4 linked regions of the Canis lupus familiaris genome follow. The protein of the gene in region 4 interacts with the protein of the main gene of each other region in a pairwise test. Links are inferred from orthologs where the notes say so. Each region holds a gene or a part of one and is shown on either strand. Other genes may lie near its edges.

Evidence for each region.
Region 1: the proteins of GIT1 (region 4) and RGS2 interact in a two-hybrid assay, tested with the Homo sapiens proteins (2 studies listed by BioGRID and IntAct). The link is inferred for Canis lupus familiaris from reciprocal best matches to the Homo sapiens genes GIT1 and RGS2.
Region 2: the proteins of GIT1 (region 4) and C13H8orf33 interact in a two-hybrid assay, tested with the Homo sapiens proteins (2 studies listed by BioGRID and IntAct). The link is inferred for Canis lupus familiaris from reciprocal best matches to the Homo sapiens genes GIT1 and C8orf33.
Region 3: the proteins of GIT1 (region 4) and HMOX2 interact in a two-hybrid assay, tested with the Homo sapiens proteins (2 studies listed by BioGRID and IntAct). The link is inferred for Canis lupus familiaris from reciprocal best matches to the Homo sapiens genes GIT1 and HMOX2.

Annotation. Positions count from the first base shown.
Region 1 is NC_049259.1:6,817,782-6,822,718, forward strand, and holds RGS2 (regulator of G-protein signaling 2), read right to left. Parts: upstream 3,371-4,937; 5' UTR 3,322-3,370; coding exon 3,212-3,321; intron 2,188-3,211; coding exon 2,086-2,187; intron 1,983-2,085; coding exon 1,921-1,982; intron 1,343-1,920; coding exon 1,176-1,342; intron 902-1,175; coding exon 707-901; 3' UTR 42-706; downstream 1-41. Other genes in the region: protein SPT2 homolog, read left to right, coding at 3,378-3,778, 4,479-4,632. UniProt on the Homo sapiens protein: Regulates G protein-coupled receptor signaling cascades. Inhibits signal transduction by increasing the GTPase activity of G protein alpha subunits, thereby driving them into their inactive GDP-bound form.
Region 2 is NC_049234.1:38,970,631-38,975,263, reverse strand, and holds C13H8orf33 (UPF0488 protein C8orf33 homolog), read right to left. Parts: upstream 3,015-4,633; coding exon 3,009-3,014; intron 2,924-3,008; coding exon 2,615-2,923; intron 2,466-2,614; coding exon 2,381-2,465; intron 2,298-2,380; coding exon 2,151-2,297; intron 1,685-2,150; coding exon 1,545-1,684; 3' UTR 1,071-1,544; downstream 1-1,070.
Region 3 is NC_049227.1:37,202,263-37,207,342, forward strand, and holds the start of HMOX2 (heme oxygenase 2), read right to left. Parts: upstream 3,371-5,080; 5' UTR 3,251-3,370; intron 1-3,250.
Region 4 is NC_049230.1:43,661,250-43,666,318, forward strand, and holds the start of GIT1 (ARF GTPase-activating protein GIT1), read right to left. Parts: upstream 3,290-5,069; 5' UTR 3,245-3,289; coding exon 3,193-3,244; coding exon of another isoform or gene 3,029-3,192; exon of another isoform or gene 2,707-3,028; intron 2,340-2,706; exon of another isoform or gene 2,262-2,339; coding exon of another isoform or gene 2,210-2,261; intron 1-2,209. Other genes in the region: uncharacterized protein LOC119876655, read left to right, coding at 3,029-3,219, 3,814-4,072. UniProt on the Homo sapiens protein: GTPase-activating protein for ADP ribosylation factor family members, including ARF1.

The sequences.
Region 1 (4,937 bases), on a different chromosome or scaffold from region 4:
ACAACCCCCTCCCCCATGTCTGAACCGAATAGTCAATGACATTATTTATCAAAATAAATTTATTAAAAGTATTCAAAGACCACGTCAAAGTTTAGCTGCCTTCAGGACAGTTTTTGGCACTCATCATGAACAATGTAGTTTCCTACACAACAGCACTCGTTCTGTTCTAACACTTAACAATTCAAACAGACCATTTCAGTTTTAGTGTTACAGGAGACAACAGTACTGATGATCTGTAGTCGTATGAACTTCAACACCCTTGCACACAGTAAACATTTTAATATTACTTATTCTAAATAACTAAAACTAAAACCACTATGTGGTAATGGACTGAATTAGGGAAAGATATACAGCCAGCTAGCTAAGGCCACATAATCCCAGACCTATTGATTTTAAATGTGTTTGGACCAACAGTGTCACATCAGACCTTTGGGTCTCCCATTCCTGCCTTTCCAGTGTGAGTGAGACACACCACATTTGGACCACCTTCTCCCTGGGTTCTAGACAGAGCTATGGGAGCCGTCCCAACACAAGCTTCTCCTACACAGTCACCAGCTTCCTGATTCACTAACTCTGAATCAATAGTTCTGAGTGATGTTTCCTGAACACCCAGGCTAAATTCAAGGTCAGTCTTTTTGGAAGGTCGCAGCCTTTCCCCTTAGGAACAAAATGAAATGTCCTCCACTCTTGGGCTCCCCTTTTCGTCTCATGTAGCATGGGGCTCTGTGGCGATCTGTGGCTTTTTACACAAGTCCTGATAGAATTCTGACTCCAAGAAACGGGGATAAGAGTTGTTCTCCATCAAGCTGTAGACCCTTTTCTGGGCGGTTGTAAAGCAGCCACTTGTAGCTTCTTGTATGTTTTGGGCAATCAGAGTTTTGGTTTGAAAGTCTATGTTTATCTGAAATTATAAAAAAAAAGGGGTTTATTCCATATTCAAAGCTAGGGACTGATACCTATTTAATCGTTGAAAACAAGCAGCAAAAACTATAATGTGTGATGAGCTTCATTAGCCAAGTCATTGAAGAAATGAAATTAAGCGAATTAAAAACTAGAATTAGTTTCTTGAAACAATCTTGTCCCTCCCCCCTTTAATTTAATGTCTTTTTGTTTCATTTTGGTGCTAAGAATATTCAAAATATGCTGAATTGAAGTTCTTTTTTTGCCCCCCTTACCTCTTTAGGTGCTTCTTTTTCTATGAAATCAGTATATATTTTCCTTGCTTTGGAGGACAGCTTTTGGGGTGACTTGGTTTTTTTGAAGTCTTCGCAGGCCAGCCAGAACTCAATATTTTCTTCACAAAACTCAGATTTTAAAAAAGCCCTGAATGCAGCAAGACCATCTGGGGAGGAAGAAAGGGGGGAAAAAACATGCAGAATGTAAATTGGGTGACCAATTAATGCCTTAAAATTTTTCCAGAACTACCATTCTCCCATCCCTATATTTTATTATTTCTAAATGATGGCAATTTTCTATATTTCACTCAAACTTGTAACCCTCAGAATTTAGCCTTTTAAAGACTAAGATGCTAATAGGCAAAATGCATAAGCTGGCACACTGCTACAAAATATACTTAACTTTGCTTTTAATGCAAATATTTAGAGGGGAACCTAAATTCTCCGGGCTCCAAACCTCCTGGAAACCTTGTATGCAATGGAAAAAGCTGATTCAATTCAACCTTAAGGAAGAGCAACTGCCCCTACAATTTGGGCTACTTTTCCTTCCCTATCTACAGTGAAGAAACCATGTATTTCTATGGTTAAACAGGAAATAAAGGAGAAAAATAGGCATTAGATCTTTAGTGATTGCAAATTTGAATTCCCCTTGAGCAATCTGCTTTTCTGTTGTGAACACCTTTGTGGACTCTTGTGATATTTGTGATATCTTGTGAAATGGATCAAATTCAAAAGGTTAACTTACATTTACTGGCTAGCAGCTCATCAAACGCTTCTGACCACAGCTGTGCTTCCTCAGGAGAAGGCCTGCAAAAGAAGGTCTGCTCATTAGCTCGTGCACATCAGAATTCCTCTTTTCAGCTCAGCAGCTAGCTATTCATGTTCGCAAATACAAGATTTTTCAACTTACTTGATGAAGGTTTGCTGTTTGCTTTTCTTGCCATTTTTGGGCTTCCCAGGAGACGACGAATTTTGTAAGAAGTAGCTCAAACGGGTCTTCCAATCTTTTAATCTTAAAAAGAAAAAAAAAAAAGATATTCACTAAGTGACAACGTTTGAAATTGCTGTGGCAGCTGAAGGCATTTTTACCAAATAAAGCCACCCAGTAGCAACAAGAATCTTCAAGTCAGTCTTACTCATTTTACATTTAAACCTAGCACCTACGTGCTTAACGCAATTAGTTTCATCCCTTCATCTGAGCAGAAGTACTACTCTCATAACCAAGGGTAAGTCTACCTAGGACATTTAAATGAATTTAGATGGCATATTTCAAAAAGACAGATGCAATTTCTGACCCACAAAAGACCGCAGTTTTTCTGCAGCCTTGATTACAATTCTGAGACATTTCACACTTGAAGAAACCTAACACTGGAACTGCTTGGAGCCAGTGGGTGTTCATTTCCCTCCTACCCTTAGAGCAAGAGGCTCTGGACCACTCCAGAAGCCATGAGGCAGGGGGTGTATGTGTGTCCGAGAGAGAGAGAGAGAGAGAGAGAGAGAGAGACTGAGTTCCCCTGCCCCAGCCCAACTACAACACTCATTTTAAGCAGATGATGCATAACGATGATTTGCTGCACAATCTTTAGTGGGTGAATTAAGCAATTCAGTCAAAAAAAAAAAAAGCGATTTTAAAACGAGTATGTTCAGAACCAGCCAAAATATTCCAATCCGGAAGCTGTGCAAGCTGATCAGAACTTATAATGCAAGGCACCAGTGCTGGGGATGTGCTTCGGCCCCAGGATCCTCGGCTGCTACCTTAGACGCAGGGGCCACAAAGCCAACCTGCGAGGTCTTAGCCTCCTCATCCTCCTCATCACCACCGCCTCCCTATCTAACATGCTCTCAGTCCTAAACTACCCGAGAGTCCTTGGCTCACGCACACAGATTGAACCTTACTTAGCTAATTGCCCTCTTCCACATTTTTGCTTTTCCCTGCAGAGGCGCGGGTCGCAGGGTTTCCTAACGTCATCACGTTCGCAGCAAACCCGGAGCGCCAGGTGCGCAGCGCGGGGCGGGCGCCCGAGGGCCGTACTCACAGGGTCCGCTTCATCTTTTCCCGCTTCTCCTCGTGCTTGGGGCTGTTGCTCGAGCTCTTGTCCATGGATCCGCAGTCGTGCTGGACGGCCAGGAACATGGCACTTTGCATCGTCCACCGCCTGCCGGGGCCGCAGCTCTGCGCGGCGGGGCGCGGGCGCCGCCTTTATGGGCGGCGGCGGGGAGGGGGCGGGGCCTCCGCCGCCGGGCCCGCCCCCCGAGGGCACCGATTGGTCGGCTGCACCCGGGCGCGGGGGCGGGCGGCCCGGCCCGCGGCGGTCACGGGCGCCGCCGAAGGCTCTCGAAGCGAGGTGGGCTGACGTCCGGGGCTCGGGCTCCGGCTCCGGCTCCGGCTCCGGCTCCGGCTCCGTGCGCGCTCGGGCCCTCGCGGCGGCTCGCGGGGTTGCGTGTGGGATCGGACCGGGACGCCTCGCCGCCAGCCGCGCCCCGGCCACGGGACGACGGGACGACGGGACGACGGGAGGGGGCGCTCCCGGCCCTGGAGGGGTGCAGGCTCCGGCGGGGAGAGGCTGCTGGGAGCGGACCGGGGTGCAAGTGCTTTATTTTGAGTTAAGATGTTTTCCAACCCCCCGCCCTTGTTTTTTGGAGAGCGCGCCCTCTTCCCACGCCTCATTTCTTGCAAACAGGCCGCGGGGAGACCCTCCCCTCTTCCGCTGTGCGACTCCGTTGAGTTGGGAGGGGAGGAAAAGATGAAAGGGAGGGGCGGGGCGGGGGCGGGGGCGGGAGCGAGGGGGGTAGGGGCGGAGGGGGGCAGGGGGAGGGGGCGGGGGGCAGGGGCGGGGGGGCAGGGCAGGGGGGACAGGGTCAGGGGAGGGGGCGGGAGGGCAGGGGCAGGGGCGGGGGGGCCGGGGTGGGGGCAGGGGAGTGGGGCAGGGTCAGGGTCAGGTGGGGGAAGGAGCAGGGGCAGGGGGGGCCGGGGCGGGGGCGCGGGGGACGGGGGCGGGGGTGGGGCAGGGGAGTGGGGCAGGGGCGGGGGGGCCGGGGCGGGGGCGCGGGGGACGGGGGCGGGGGTGGGGCAGGGGCGGGGGCAGCGACCCCCGCGCGGCCGGGGGGTGGGGTGGGGGGGGGCAACCCGGAACCCTGCGGGGACTGAACGGTAAGCAGGGAAGGAACCGGAGAAAGGGACTTTATCCGACGGCCGTGTTTTAAGAGGGTGTGCAGCCTTGCTCCCCGCAACCTGCGTGATTGGGTCTTCCCGTGGGGTTGCAAAGCTTTTTCTCCGAAATCCTTGGTTGCTTCTCCTTCCAGGACAGAGAAGTCCCAGCTCTCCTCACGAGGAGACGGAGGGAAACACCAAGACGTGGAAACTGTGATGCGCCAGAGCCATCCTCGTCCTGGGAGTGCAAGGATGCAGGGTTTCCTCATGAGTCATTCTTGGCTGAGAATTTACCAGAACACTTAATAACTTGCAAAGTGGGGGAGGGAGGAGAAGAAGACGTGAAGGGTTTACTTGCATAATTTGGTGATTGTTCAAAAATCATCTGTGCGAAGGCCGGCTTTAAGTGTTTTTGAGTGGGAAGGACAAACGGAGAAGGTCCACAGTCGATGACCTCAACACAATTCACTCCTTGATTTCAGGTATCAGAGCCGTACAGTGGAATATTCAGATGGTTTCCCCATCAAGCATTTAAGTACAAAGTAAGACTCACAGCAAGGTATTGATTAGGCTACAGATACTCTCCGAGCTTTGCATTAGAACTGCCAAAA
Region 2 (4,633 bases), on a different chromosome or scaffold from region 4:
AGGAGCATCCTGAATAGAAAAATAACCTGAGAGGAAAGCAGGGTTGATGGTACAGAGACTCTTGTCTTCAGATGATTCCTGTTTCCCAGTCTCCATGTACCATGTTCTCCAGAGTCCAAGATCTCCTACAAGTGGACTTTTAGTGATATCAGGATTGAAGCCCTTGAGGAAGGATTGATTTGATTATCTCAGGAACAGACAAGTCAGCAAGGTAGGAACAAGAAAAGGGGGCCACATCAGAGAAGTGGTCAGGAGCCTAAAAGTGTGCAGGCCCCAAATGGGACCTTTCACATATCTAAAGTACAATAAAGTCACTAGGTCAGAGAAACAGGACTCAATATACGTGCAGAATCACTGGCTGCATTGAACACACAAGAGGCAAGAGTGATGTATGGATACAAACCCCTGGAGGCTCACACAGCAGTCAGGGGAAGAGCCAGGGCCAGGACTAGTATGCCGAGCAGCAAAGAGAAAGCTCCAAATATCATAGATTTAGTTTGCAGACAAACCTCCTATCAGAACACATGTGTGGGAGGAAAGCAAGAAAGGATAACACAGGTCTTTGGCCTAATCAACTAGGTGAGCAGTATAGCTATTAACTCAAAAGCAGAAGACAAAGGAAGATTTAGGGACCAATCAAATGTTTTGGACACGTCAAGTTTGAAATGCTCATGAAACATCAAAGTAGAAATGCTGAGCAGGCAGGCTGGGATGCAAGCTTGGGAGACACGAGCAAAGGACAGCACCACAATTGAAGAGGGGGAAAAGGCCACCTGATTCCAAGCAAAGGAAGTCCTGGGAGTATCTCCTGCAGCAGCCAAGGTCCGGAGAGGTCATCTACTGAGGGTCAACTCAGGTCTTCGGCCAGGATTGTTAGGACAAGAAGCTCTCTGCTCCTAAGAAGAAAGCTTGGCCTTCTGGGAGCTACACTGGCTCCCTAGGGAGGACACATGCTCAGGAATGAAGGTAAAACAAAGGACCAAGCACCCTGGTGAGCCTAGAACCCAGCCAGGACAGACACCTGCCTCTTCTGTATTTATTTAACAGACGTTAGCACATGAATTCATTGATCCATTTTTACAAAAAATAGTTTTATTAGAGCAACATGATATTATGATATAAAGCACTACACCATTTGACACAAAGTTCTTTTATAAGTGAGCACCAGTGTACAGTTCTATAGCTTCCTCCGCGGTCCTTATTACAAACAGCTGCCTAACCTCAGCCTAAAGATGAAGTGCAACATTCTTTCTACAATATGCTGAACACTCACTTCAGTTTATTGTAGAAGTTTCCTAAACAGACATCCTTCTTGTCGCGGGATGGACATTTCATCTGAAAACTTACAAACGGTCTTGTGCTTATCTGACAGTACCCAATAGGCTGGTTCCACATCCGTCCCACAGCCATGGCACCAGATCCACTGGGCAGCCACGAACGGACTAACCTCACGTCTGTCCAGCAGAGCATTCCCGGAGAGGCTCCACACAAGACAAACCCCCACACCACCCAGGCAGGGGAAGTGTTCCAGCATGGAAGTCAGGCTAAAAGAAATTGAACCTGAACTCTTCATCAGGGGTATCCTGGGTGGCCTTGGCTACACCTGCCTGGCGAGGCCTGCAGACCCTTCCGCTCTTCTTTCTGGTGGCCTCACCTACAGGCTGCACCTGAGCCGCGCGGGCCGCTGTGGGGGAGGCGACAGAAAGTGTCGTAACAGAGTAGTAACCGCTAACATTACCCTGGCCATTCACCTCGAATCTCTTGGGGCAAATCAACGGATTCATTCCTCAAAATCTGAGGGTAGGTGTTGGCATCAAACCCCACCCAGAATCACTAAGACCGGCACCCTGAGTGGCTCAGTTAAGCTTCCGACTCCATGTGGGCTCAGTCACGGTCTCAGCGTCAGGAGACCCAACCTCTCTCCCCTGGCGCATAGTCAGTAGGAGGGTGCTCCAGCTTCTCTCACCGCCCCTCCCCCATCCCTCTCACCGCCCCTCCCCATCCCTCGCAGGGCCCCAGCCTTTCCTCTCCCAGCGCCCTCAGGCCTCTGAGCCGACCCACCCCCACCAGCCCTGTCACTCTGGGTTCCTCCGGTCCTGTCACCCCCTAGGCCCTTTCTCCGCACCGCCTGGGACCACCGGCTTCCTCACCTGCCCTGAGCGCCCGCAGGGCGTCGCGCCGCTCGGCCTCCATGCGAGCCCTGTAGTCCCCGAACAAGGAGCGCATCAGCTGCCTCTTCCGCGGCAGGGGGGTGCTGTCGCTGCGCAGGCTCCGGATCGCCCCAGCGGCCTGCTCTCCTGCCCGCAGCAAGAGAGGCCTAGTAACCGCCTCCATCCCGCTGACGGCCCCCGCGGCCCCCCCGCCCCGAAGGACCCCTCACTCTGTTTCGGACTCGGTCTCCGCGTCCTGAGGCCCAGCTCCAGCTGCTCCACGCACCAAGCCAGCTCCCGGGCCAGCTGCTCCTCCTGCGACGCAGCGAGGAGAGCGGCCGTGAGGCGGCGGCAGGGCGCCGGGGCCCGCGGCCCCACCCCACGGGCACCCGCGAGCCCCGCGGCGGCCGCCACGCCCTCGCCCCCCCGCGCGCCCGCCCTTCCCGACCGAGGCCCGCGCGTGCCTGAGCCTCCGCGCTCCGGGGCGCTTCCTCTGGGGCCGGCTCCTCTGGGTCCTTCCCGCCGCCACGCGCCACGGGGGCCCCGTTCCGGTTTTTCTTCTTCTTCTGGTTCTTGGCCGCTCCGTCGCCCCCACGTTGCTCGGGGCGGCCCCCGGGGGCGGCGTCACGGCCGGCGGGGGGCCCGGAGCCGAGGCGGGCTGCGGGGGGCCTCACGGCGGAAGGACTCGCGGCGCCGGGCGGCGACCCAGGGGCCCGGGGGCTGCGGGGCGTGCGGGCGGCGCCTGGGCTTGCGGCCGCTGCTGCGTCTCGGGCCTGGAGGAAAGGGGCAGCGCCAGGGTCAAAGCGGGCCGCGCGCGGCGGGACCCCGGCGCCCCCGCGCTCACTGGGCACCGCTCACCGCCATGCGCCGCCCTCGCCGCGGAAGACCGCGCAGCGCCCGAGCTTCCCGCCGAACAACCTCCTCCGGCAACGCGGCTGCGGCGCCGAGTTCCGCTGGGCACGGACGGGACGGGGCGGGGGGCGGGGCTATGGGGGGCGGCGGCGGGGCTGGGAGATGGGCGGGCGGAGGCGGGGACTGCAGGCTCAGGCCTCGCAGCGGCCGCTGGGACCCAGCGCAGGCTCCGAAGGGGCCCCCGGGGCCGTGTTCTCGCGCCACCTACTGCGTTGCAGGCACCGCTCAGGATGCTAGGACAAGGCCCTGCACAAGGGAACGCTCCGACCGCTCGCCTGGTGGGCGGGGAAAAGCCGTCCCAGAGAAGCGTCGTGAATAGCGGCCGAAACGAGGGCGAGCGCTCGGCGGAGACCTCCGGGCAGCAGCCCGCGCCAGGCTGGCGGGACAGGTTGGGTAGCGGGAAGGAGGCGGGGCAGGGGCCGCGGGGCAGGTCAGGGCGTTGGGCGAGCTCCGGCCGTGCAGGCGCCGGGGACAGGCCCGAGGTCCGCTTGATTGTCAGCGCGAGGGGAAGCCTTTGACACACGCTGGTCCGCAGAGTGCTGGGGTCTCACTCGGATGTGCGTTTGAAAGACCCCTCGGCTCTTGGGACGAAGGCCAGACGGGCGGGCGGCAGGTGAGGCTGGGAACGTGGAGGGATGCCCGAGACGCGGGGGAAGAGCCTGCGCCCTTGCGGGTGGCCTGGAGGTGAGCACTGCCGCAGGAGGACGCAGCAGGAGCCCGTCCCGGTCTGGCTTGCCCCTCCCCGCCTTCTGCCCAGGGCGGCCCCCCACCCTCCGGTACTACAGACCGGGTGCCTCCTCCCAGCCTGGGGCTCCAGGCGTCAGTAGACGTCCTCGGGAGGAAAGAGCCTGCAGCAGGGCAGGAGCCGGAGTGCTGTCCGAGGATTCCGGTCGGGGAAATCGGGGTACCAAGTGTCGTTTCCTGAGGCAACAGATGGGACGTGTTGCCTGCCTGGGCTGGGAGGTCTCGAGGGTGTCAGTTTGGTCATCACAAATAGTTGATCTATTATTTATTGCAGGGTAACAAGTTGTCACACAACTGAGCTGATCGAAAACAGTAAACATCTGGTACCGTTCCCGAGGAAATCTAGCAACAGTGTAGCCGTGTGATTCTAAGTCAGGGTCTCTTGTGACCCCTCTTGAAGGGAGGAATATCAAAAACCTTTAGACAGGGCCGCCTGGGTGACTCAGTGCTTAAGCGTCTGCCTTTGGCTCAGGTCCTGACCCCGGGGTCCCAGGGTCCACACCCTGGGCTGAAGGTGGCGCTAAACCGCTGAACCACCCGGGCCGCCCATTGAGGGCCATTTTAAATGGAAAAATCACCAAAAAGCACAAGAATGTAAAAAGTGTAGCATTGAATATACTATGAAAAGGACACTGGCTTACAGTATGAGAGCAGTGTCGCCTGCTCAACCTCAGCTGGGAACAGGTAAGTGTAGTGACCCAGAATTGTCATTATTCTGTGCATGTCCATGAGTGACTGTGAAAGGATCAGTATAGGTTTCGAGGGTTACAAGTAAATTTTAGCAACCAGATGAATTTGCAAATATGGAGTGCTCAATAATGAAATTG
Region 3 (5,080 bases), on a different chromosome or scaffold from region 4:
TAATACAGGGGATCCCTGGGTGGCTCAGCGGTTTAGCACCTGCCTTCGGCCCAGGGCGTGATCCTGGAGACGCGGGATCGAGTCCCACGTCAGGTTCCCTACGTGGAGCCTGCTTCTCCCTCTGCCTGTCTATCTCTCTGTCTCTAATAAATAAATAAAATCTTAAAAAAAAAAAAATGTGTAATACAGGGAGGCCTGGGGGGGGGGGGGGGGTTGCTCAGCAGTTTGGCGCCACCTTCAGCCCAGGGCCTGATCTTGGAGACCCAGGATGGAGTCCCACGTCCGGCTCCCTGCATGGAGCCTGCTTCTCCCTCTGCCTGTATCTCTGCCTCTCTCCCTCTCTGTGTCTCTCATTAATAAATAAATAAAATATTTTTAAAAAATATGTAATACAATGGGAAATAACATATTATGGTAAATAAAGAGAATCAATGTAGAGAAGTAAACCGTACACTGAACATTACAGAGCACCTGAGTGGTCCCCAGAGTGAAATCTCTTCCAGTATTAAAAAAAAAAAAAAAAAAGGGGGATCCCTGGGTGGCGCAGCGGTTTGGCACCTGCCTTTGGCCCAGGGCGCGATCCTGGAGACCCGGGATCGAATCCCACATCGGGCTCCCGGTGCATGGAGCCTGCTTCTCCCTCTGCCTGTGTCTCTGCCTCTCTCTCTCTCACTGTGTGCCTATCATAAAAAAAAAAAAAAAAAAAAAAAAAAAAAAAAAGGCATTCGTATAAGCCATTACAGTAACTGTTCCAAGATTCCCCTCCCTTATAGTTTTCTCTCTGTCCCTCTCTTCCTCCCCAAAATTAATCAGTAATGGTACTGCTTCTCAGTACTGCAAAAATATCCTGAGAAATCATTCAAACAACAAAATTTAAATATAGTACGTAAGCCAAAACACTGGTGAGAGTGCGGGATTTAGAGGGGCCTTGGAAACACTACTTAGTAACCCCATCTAATTGGGAGTGTGATGTCAACACACAGTGAAATGACAACATTTCATCCTGTTTTTGCACAAACTGAATTAGATAATTTAGTTAAAAAGCACATAACTCTCACTCTGTTGAACACAAAAGATGTAATCCAGAGCTCTTAATTCTCTCACTGATTACTATAAGAAAACAAGATTGCTCTAAATATTTATTTATAACTTTTTAGTTAATTATGGCCAATAACATACCAGGAGGTAATTTACAGTTCAAATTTTTCATCTCTTTTGTCTCCACGGCGTTAAGCTGAATTCTCAACTTTACAATAAATACACAATTCCAATTTTCTTTTTCCTTTTCTTTTTTTTTTTTAAGATTTTATTTGAGAGAGGGAGCCACGGAGCATGAATAGGGGGAGGGGCCGAGAAAGAATCAGAGCCCCAACTGAGCAGGAAGCCTGAAGTGAGGCTGGATCCCCAGGATCCGGGTATCATGACCTGAAGTAAAAGCAGACACTTAATCGAATGACTCACCCAGGTACCCCACAATTCCAATTTTTCAAAAATACCTCTCTCCTGAAGAAGTGATATTATAGTTTTGGTGCAATACTGATGCAGAGCTCAACTGTCTTATCAAGAGAATCACCTATTAAAAGGAAACCAGGGCAGCCTGGGTGGCTCAGTGGTTTAGTGCCTGCCTTTGGCCCAGGGCGTGATTCTGGGGTCCTGGTATCGAGTCCCACATTGGGCTCCCTGCAGGGTGTCTGCTTCTCCCTCTGCCAGTGTCTCTACCTCTCTCTCTCTGTCTCCCATGAATGAATAAATTAATAAAATCTTAGAAACAAATTAAAAGGAAACAAACAAACAAAAAAATCAAGGTAGCTCAAAGGCCCCAGCTGTCCAATTTTGCATTTCAACACTCGATAAGGGGTAACCTAAAGGCAATGAATACTTTCTGTAACTCATTTTCACGTTTGGTATTGTCATTTCTAGAGTAGGGATCCCAGGGAAGAGAGTTTAAAGGACATAATCCATTTCCAATCTCTACGACATTGTTTGGGAAAGATCACAGATCTGCAGGCGGATGACCAGGATCAAGGCCATCTGTGGCCTTGGGGATCCCTGGGTGGCTCAGCAGTCTGGCACCTGCCTTTGGCCGAGGGCGTGATCCTGGAGTCCTGGGATCGAGTCCCACATCGGACTCCCTGCGTGGGGCCTGCTTTTCCCTCTCCCTGTGTCTCTGCCTCTCTCTCTCTCTTTCTCTGTGTCTCTCATGAATAAATAAATAAAATCTTAAAAAAAAAAAAGACCATCTGTGGCCTCTTCCCAGTTGTGGGATGCAGGTGAAGTCATTTCACCCAAGCCTCATCATTAATTCCATTTTTTTAAAAAAGATTTTATTTATTTATGCATGAGAGACACAGAGAGAGAGAGAGAGAGAGAGAGGCAGAGACACAAGCAGACACACAAGCAGGCTCCATGCAGGGAGCCTGACGTGGGACTCGATCCCGAGACCCCGGGTCACGCCCGGAGCTGAAGGCAGACACACTGAGCCCCGCCGGGTTCTGGCGGGGGCTGGCAGCGAACTGCAGAGCGCTACACGGTGTGTGTTTGTTGTGTTTGTTTTCCCAATCCCACACCGTCTCGTCGGGCTCAAGGCCATGAACACGAACTGCCAGGATCCACTTCACAGCACGACACAGGCAGGCCTTGTACAAGGCGGTCCTGGCAACCCCTGGCAATTAATACACCTACGGCAGCGGGCAGACGAAGTGACTGGTGAAGTCCCCGCCCGGACCAACCGTCCGTCCCTCCTTCCCGGCGGCGGCGGGTCACTCATGAAGTCACCACAGTGACTCAAAACGCCCTTCCTACTGAGGTGAGTCAGGAGGAAGCGCGGAGCCCGCAGCCGCCACCACGCGGGGCTCGGACCACCGGGCGCCCGGGACAGGCCGGGGTCCTCGCGGGGGTCGGAGGCCGCAGCCCCCGCCGGGCACGCCGAGTCGGCACGCGACGCCCCCGGGGTCACCCAGCCCAGCGCACTCGTGACGCCGCGAGGGGCCGGGCCCAACGGAGCCCAAGGCGGACGGGCCGCTCGGGCCTCACCCGCCCGCCCCGGCGGCCGGGAGCGAGCAGGGAGTCTCAGCGCGGCGCCCTCCCCGCTCATCCCGTTTCCGGCCGCCCCCCGTCCCGGCCCGCCGGCTCTCCCTCAGGCCGGCGCCCGGGTCGCAGCGTCCCGCCGCCGCCCGCCCGGCTCAGCTCCGGGCCGTCCGGACGCGCCGCGGAGCCCGGAGGAGCGCCTGGGAGGGCGCAGACCACTCACCGGCCTCGGGTCCGCTCGGCCGGCCGTCAGTCACCGCGTCCGCGCGTCCGTCAGCGACTCAGCGAAGCGCCGCGGCCGCCGCAGCCCTGCGGGCGGCGCGAGGGCGGCCCGACGTGCGCACGCAGAGGGGGCGGGTCCTGTGGAAGGACACGCCCCTGCGGCGGCCCCGCCGTGTCTCCCGCGGGGTCGCGGGGTCGCGGGGTCGCGGGGTGGCTAGGGGAGTCGGGGTGCCCCCGAGCCCGCGCGCTAATGAGAGAGAGTGTTAATGAGGGCGCCTCCGGGCTCCGCGCTCTCCGCGCCCCGTGTCCCCGCCTGTGCAGGCTGCACCTGCCCTCTCGGTTCCAGCCGCCTTGCCTGCCTGTCCCTTCCTTACCCGTCCGGCGGGCTGCAGAGCGAATGACCGGTACTGTCCCGTGCTGACAAAGGTGTGCGGAATGTGCGCTGTTCCTGGGATTTCCCGGAGACCTGGGGACACGTTAGCGAGATCTGTTCGAATTTAGAAGGGGCCTATCTCTTTGTTCAAACAATGTCCTTCCTCGGTAGCTCTCGGAGAGCAATGCGTGCAAGAACCCCAAGAGGCAAGAGCGAGGAAGGTCGTTGGCAACACGGGAGGGGATGCGCGCGTCATCTGGGTGAACATCTTGAAACCACCTAAACGTCCATTAAAGGGGGATATGGTGTGGGCGTTGATGGGGGTACCTCTCTGCAACGGGGTTGTGCCTGCGTTAAAAAAAGGAAGGGCAGACATGAGCTTAGGGAGGATGTTATTAAGCAGAAGGATAGGATGTAGGATGTAGAAAGCAGGATGTTGGAAAAATGCAAAAATACATTTGACAGTGTGTAAGTTTGACTTAAAAAATATTGAACTCTAGGGGTGCCTGGATGGCTCAGTCAGTTCAGCGTCTGCCTTCGGCCCAGGTCATGATCCCAGAGTCCTGGAATGGAGCCCCACATTGGGCTCCCTGCTCAGGGGGGAGTTTGCTTCTCCCTCTCCCTCTGCCCCTGCTCATGTGCACTCTCTCTCTCTCTCACTCTGAGTGAATAAATACTCACTCTGAGTAAATAAAATCTTTAAAAAAAAATTGAATTCTAATGTGTATGTGAAGTGTTTCAGGGTGAGGGGCAGGGCGGTCTGTAATTTACTTGAAACATATCAAGAGATAAGATAGTTGATGGATAATAAATGTCTGATAAATAAAGCAAAATGTTAAGAATTGGAGAAGCTAGGTGGTAAGTGTATGTGTAGGTGTTCCTGATATAGTTCTTTCAACTTTTCCGTATGTCTACAGATTTTTTAGGATAAAAATTTGGGGAAATATATTCAATATGATCTCTTTTCTTTTTTTAAAGACTTCATTTATTCATGAGAGACGGAGAGAGAGGCAGAGACACAGGCAGAGGCAGAAGCAGGCTCCATGCAGGAAGCCGGATGTGGGACTCAATCCCGGGACTCCGGGAACACGTCCAGAGCCAAAGGCAGATGCTCAACTGCTGAGCCACCCAGGTGTCCCCTTTTATTTTTTTTGAACTACAAAATGTTCTTTCCACACATTTATATTTAGGTATCTAAATGCATCCAATGTCAGGAAGGTTTATACACTAGAATGTCAAAGGGAGGTCGGGGGTCACTTGTGCTTTATCTGTACCAATTAAATTTTTTTTAGATGCATAAATGCATTAGGCATGACTTGGTTACCAAAACCAAATTTTATTTATTTTTAAAGATTTAATTTATTTATTCATGAGAGACAGAGAGGCAGAGACATAGGCAGAGGGAGAAGCAAGCTCCTTCTGGGGAGCCTGATGCGGGACTCGATCCCACGACCCTGG
Region 4 (5,069 bases):
AGGGCTGGAACCCCATTCATAGTGAGAGAAGCCTATGACTGGGTAGGAGGCATGTGCCTATATCCCAACTGTTGATCACCCTCAAGCCTTGTTGTACCTGGGCTGCTATAGTTCCCACACTGAGAATGCCACTCCTTGGGTCCCACAGAGATTGGGTCCTATGGTGGGGAATGGGGGAGCCCCAAGTAGCCAGCTGGGGTCCTGATAAGCATCTAAACACTCAGGGAGGCTCGACATGTGCTAGACACCATGCCAGGTGCTGGGGTAGGGTGATGTGTAAGACTTTGCCAGCACCCTGCCTATCTCACCATCCTTACCCCCTGCCTATTCCTGACATGTATTCTGGGTCAGGGGAAAAGGAGGTACCTGGGGCACGAGCAATCCAAGACATCAGATACACATCACTCCTCCCCAAACCCATTAGGCATCCATAGGTTTCAGACTGTCAAATCCAGTGGAGAAAGGAGAACTACCTTGCTGATTCTGTCCTATGTCCCTTTGGCTGAGAATGAGAACCACAGACTTGAAGATGGGATGGTCTTCAAAAACCATTTCTACTCCCAATTTCTTTGCTTCACAATTGAGAAAACTGAGGAAGAGCCCTGCCATGGGTCACAGAGTAAGCTGACAGAAGCACCCTCCCCCCAGTCCTTCTGGACCTTCCACCCTCACCCCTATGCTATGCCCGCCTTGCAGAGGTTTACACAACAGTCTGGGACACCCACAGAAGGCAAGCTCTCCTCCTCTTGGCCCTTCCATCCTCAGACCTGCATGCGGCTAGAAGAAGATCACCGTTTCCAGCTCATTAGGATAAGGATATGTAAGCCCAGATAGCTTCTTGAAGGCCCTCTAGATCATGACACGCCCTGAGAGAAGTCCCAGGGTCGCAACCACCCACGGAGTACCATGCCTCTGCCAGGCATCCACAGTCACCAAACACTTGAGCTTGGAGCCATCGGAACCACTGGAGTATCTGTGGTTCTCAACCTGTTGGGGTCTTAGGCCTGTCCTAAGGGTGGCTCAAAGTTATGGGTGCATGGAACAGCACCTCACACTCTCATGTTTAATTATGCCCACAGTCCCCCTGGAATTCAGAGACACCCTGAGCCTGCCCAGAGGTCTCCTAGGGAGTTAGCTTCTTTATTTTAAGGAGAGGATGGACAAAAGCCACGGCTTCCTTCCCCAGGCCAACTGCTGAGCCCCATCACTGGCACGGTCCTCCCACATCAGAAGGTAGCAGCCACTCAGGTCACCACTCCTCACTTCCTCAGCTGGTCAGGGGGGTTTCACATCAGCCTGGACCTGACTGTGCCGGGGAGAAGGAAAACACCAGGGTAAATACAGCCAGGAGGCTGGCCAGGAAGCCAGCGATATCCTGGGTACTACTGCTCCTTCCCCACTTCTGGCCAGACTGGGCTACACAGGGCTAGGAGGGGTCTGTGCCCAAGCTGGGACAATGCTAAGCCCACCTGACGGGGTTAAGCAGACCTTACTGGGGCATAAGAATAGCTGAGTCTAGTGGCTCCCAGGCACCAGGCAGCCTGGGGATGCCTGAGAGAAAGATGCCCAGGCTGTACTGGCCCTCAACACCAGGCCCTGCAAGTAGCCCCGGCCTTGGGAACCAGGGGCAGGCAGTCCTCGGAGTAGCTACCGCCTCTCCACCCCCCCCCCGCCCCCATCTGCTCCCAAAGAAACACTACCCCAGCCTCCCCTGGCCCATCTGCCCAGCTTTCTGCCCCTTGACCTCCGCCACCTCAGCGGGCGCCCAGACCATGCGAGCAGCAGGTGCAAGACGCGGGGGTGGCACCGAGCTGACACGAAACCCCACTCGCCCCCACCTCCTGAACCTTGCGGGCCTCCGCCACAGCCCTCCTGCCACCCCAGGCTGGCGCTTCCGTCGGGAGGTAGAGATGGGGGCGGGGGGCAGCCAGCCGCCTGCCTCCCTCAGACTCCGGGGTGGCGCCGGCAATGTCCTTCCCCGCCCGTCCGCGGACGCGAGGGCACCGGGGCCCCCCAGCCGGCCCTCCCGCCAAGGACGCGGCTCCGCAGTGGCCCGGGCGGGGGCCGAGGCCGCAGCCCCCAGCCCCGCGCCCCGCCCTCCGGCCCCGCACGGCGCTCTCGCCAGGCCCGGCGCCCGCCCGGCGGCCTCGCAGCGCGGTCGCGGTCGCAGTCGCGGTCGCGGTCCCGCCCCCGGCCCGGCCTTGCTCACCCGGGGCGCTGCAGTCCGCACACACCTCCGCCCGCGGCCCCTTCCGGGACATCCTCAGCGGCGACGCGGCCGCAGCCCTCTGGGCCAGCGTGGGGGGCGCGGGCGGCGGGCCCGGGCGGCGGCTGCCTCTGCTGCCCGGCCCGGCTCCGGCAAGGCCCCGGCTAGGCTCCGCGCGCCCGGCCAACCGTCCGCCCCCGGGGCTGGCCCGGAACCCGCCGTGCCCGCCTGCCCGCTCGCCCTCCGGCGCCCTCCGCCCCGCGCCGCCCCGCGCCGCCCTGCCGCCGCTCGCTCTCTCCGCCCCCTGCGCGGCTCCGGGCCGCTCCTGCAGGAAGCGGCGCAGGCCCTGCCCACCGGGGGAGGGGCAGCCCGCAACCCGCCCCGCCGCCGGGCCCTGCGGGCCGCGCCTCCCGGAGAAAGGAAGCCGGGAGCGCGGGCGGGAGGGGGCGGGGGTGCTTAAAGGGGCCGCGGCCGCCGCGCTGCAGGCCCTAGAGGGCAGCGTCGCCTGCGCGCCGGGCCTCGCCTCCCTCGCTCTCCGGCCCCGCGGCTGTGTGAGTTCCCCGCGCAGCCCTCTCCTCTTCGCTTTCCAGGTGGAGGGTAGCCCGAGGGGCTCAGGCCCGGGGACGGTGACCCTTGGGGGACCCGGGAAGAGAGGAAGGAGCTAGAGGCCCAGGCCCCCTTCCTCGTCAGAGCGCTGTGGTTTGGGGTGCCCGCCTCTGTGTGGCTGAGGCGAGGTGTGCGACCTGGCCCCCCATATATCCACATCTGTGTGTCCAGGTGTGTGTGGTCACACCCTTGCTGCTTACGCACAAAGCCAACAATATGGACGCCCAGGTGTACCCCTGCCTCCCAGCTAAAAATACATCTATACCTCATCCATGCTGCCGTCCCGAGAGGAAAGAATCTGGGCAGTTTTTAAAGGCCTCCCGAGGGGTGACCACTGTGCCTGTGGGCAGTAATATCCACTCTGCATTCGTCTTGTATACCTCCACGGTGTTTCTGGGCCACTGCAGGTTTGTGTGTCCAGGGCGTGTGCATATAACATACAGGGACCTTTTCTTATGGTGGCCTTTCTTCCTAGACTTCACACGGAGACGGCAATGGGGGGGGGGGGGGACAGGAAGCGGAGGCGCAGGCGGCACGTGGGTGCACCCCTGCACTGAGCATGCTCCCCCATACACGTGTGCCCCGCGTGCACCCAGCCCCCATCCCTGCAGCAGCAAAATGCCAGAGCGCTTTGCTTCTGGGGCCAGGGCCCGGGTGGCCAGGACCAGGCCTGGGGGCCAGGTCAGTGGTGACCGGAATTAAGGGAAGATTCCCAAGGGGCAGGGAGCCCTTCTCAGTAACAAGGGGGAGAAGGGGAGTCCTTGGGCAGGGGTTTGGGAGTTGGTCGATTTTATCCCAGCGGTGCCAGAACAGCAGTGGCTTGTGGGTGGGCAGGCTGCTTCCCTGGGGGAGACAAGTAATGCTCATGAGTCACACCACCCGAAATACAAGCAAAGCTGCCTCTATCGCCTTTTGCTGCAGCCCAGATTGACAAGTTTGTTTGAAATCGCGATCCACGGGGTATATTTATAATCGCACCTTTAAGAAAAATCTTTTTGCAGGCCTCTCCTCCCCCCACAGCCAGCCGCTCAGCTGGCGGGGCTTCTGCAAGCGAAGGTACCTCGCGGTGGGGGAGCACCACCTGCCGCACGGTGCCGCACCCACACCGAGAAGCCAGTCTGTGGGCTTGGTAGCCCCAGGCTGGACGACGTAATGGAGCGGCCTGGCCGCTCTTCCCGGCGCCCCCCACCCCCACCCCCAGGAGCGGTGGCCGCCCATTCACCCCCGATCGACCCACAGCTATGGAATTTCATTTATTAAATGTCGAGGCGGCTACTGGCAGCTCCATCGCTTGGCTGTCTTTGTTTCTCTGCTGTGTGGGCGCGTCTCGAGCACGTGGCAGCTGGAGGGCGCAGACCCGAGGAAAGGCGACCTGGGTTTGGTCTAGGGCCGCCTGGCAAAGAGACCCGGCTGCTAAGGGCATAGGTCCCCCAATCCTGGCCGAGCTCCCCGTCTCCCAGAACTCCCAACACTTTTCAGGGGAAGAATGATTCACCCCGTCGCCCCCTCCCGCCCGCCAGCTCTACCTCCGGGCTGGCCCGGGGACTACCTGGGAGTGGCCCAGGCAAGAAGCCACACTCTAAACTTTGTTCCGGAAGACCCCAGCCCCGCCACTGCGGAGCTTCTGGGCCCGAGACTAGGGATAAAAGGGTTCCAGGATCTCCCTCTGGAGACGTCTCCACCTCAGGAAGCAAGACAGTAGAAAAAGAAATATGAGACAAGGTTCTATAAACAATTTAATGAGGAAACAAACGTACAGGCATTCTTCTGGCCACTCCTAGCCGTCCCTCCCCCGCCCCAGCCCCTTCCCCAACTCCGGCTGCAGCCACAACACTCTGCTGACCCCTCGTGGTGGAGGTGGGCAGCGGTTCCCGGTTGCCCGAGACGCCGCCAGCTGGCTCCTCCCAGGCTGGAGAAAGGGGCGAGGCAGTCCATTCCTCCTTTATCCTTTCCCGCCTGGGCCTGGCACCGCAGGGTGTGGAGGAGGAAGGAGAGAAGACCACACAAAGAAACCTGAGAGAGGCGCGGAGAGTTTGCAAGCTTTTGCTAGCACCTCCCACACAAACATTTCTTGGATTGTTCTAAGTAGGGCTGGTATGGAATCCCTAATTCCTGTCCTGTTCTAAGGTGGACTCAGGAAGGCACAGTGCCCGGTCCTGCCACCTGTCTCGGTCCACCCGGTTGCGGGCGGGATGCGCTGTTTCTCAGGGCAGTTACTATCCTTAGCTCACCCCAGTAGGTAGTATTTGGAGTCCGA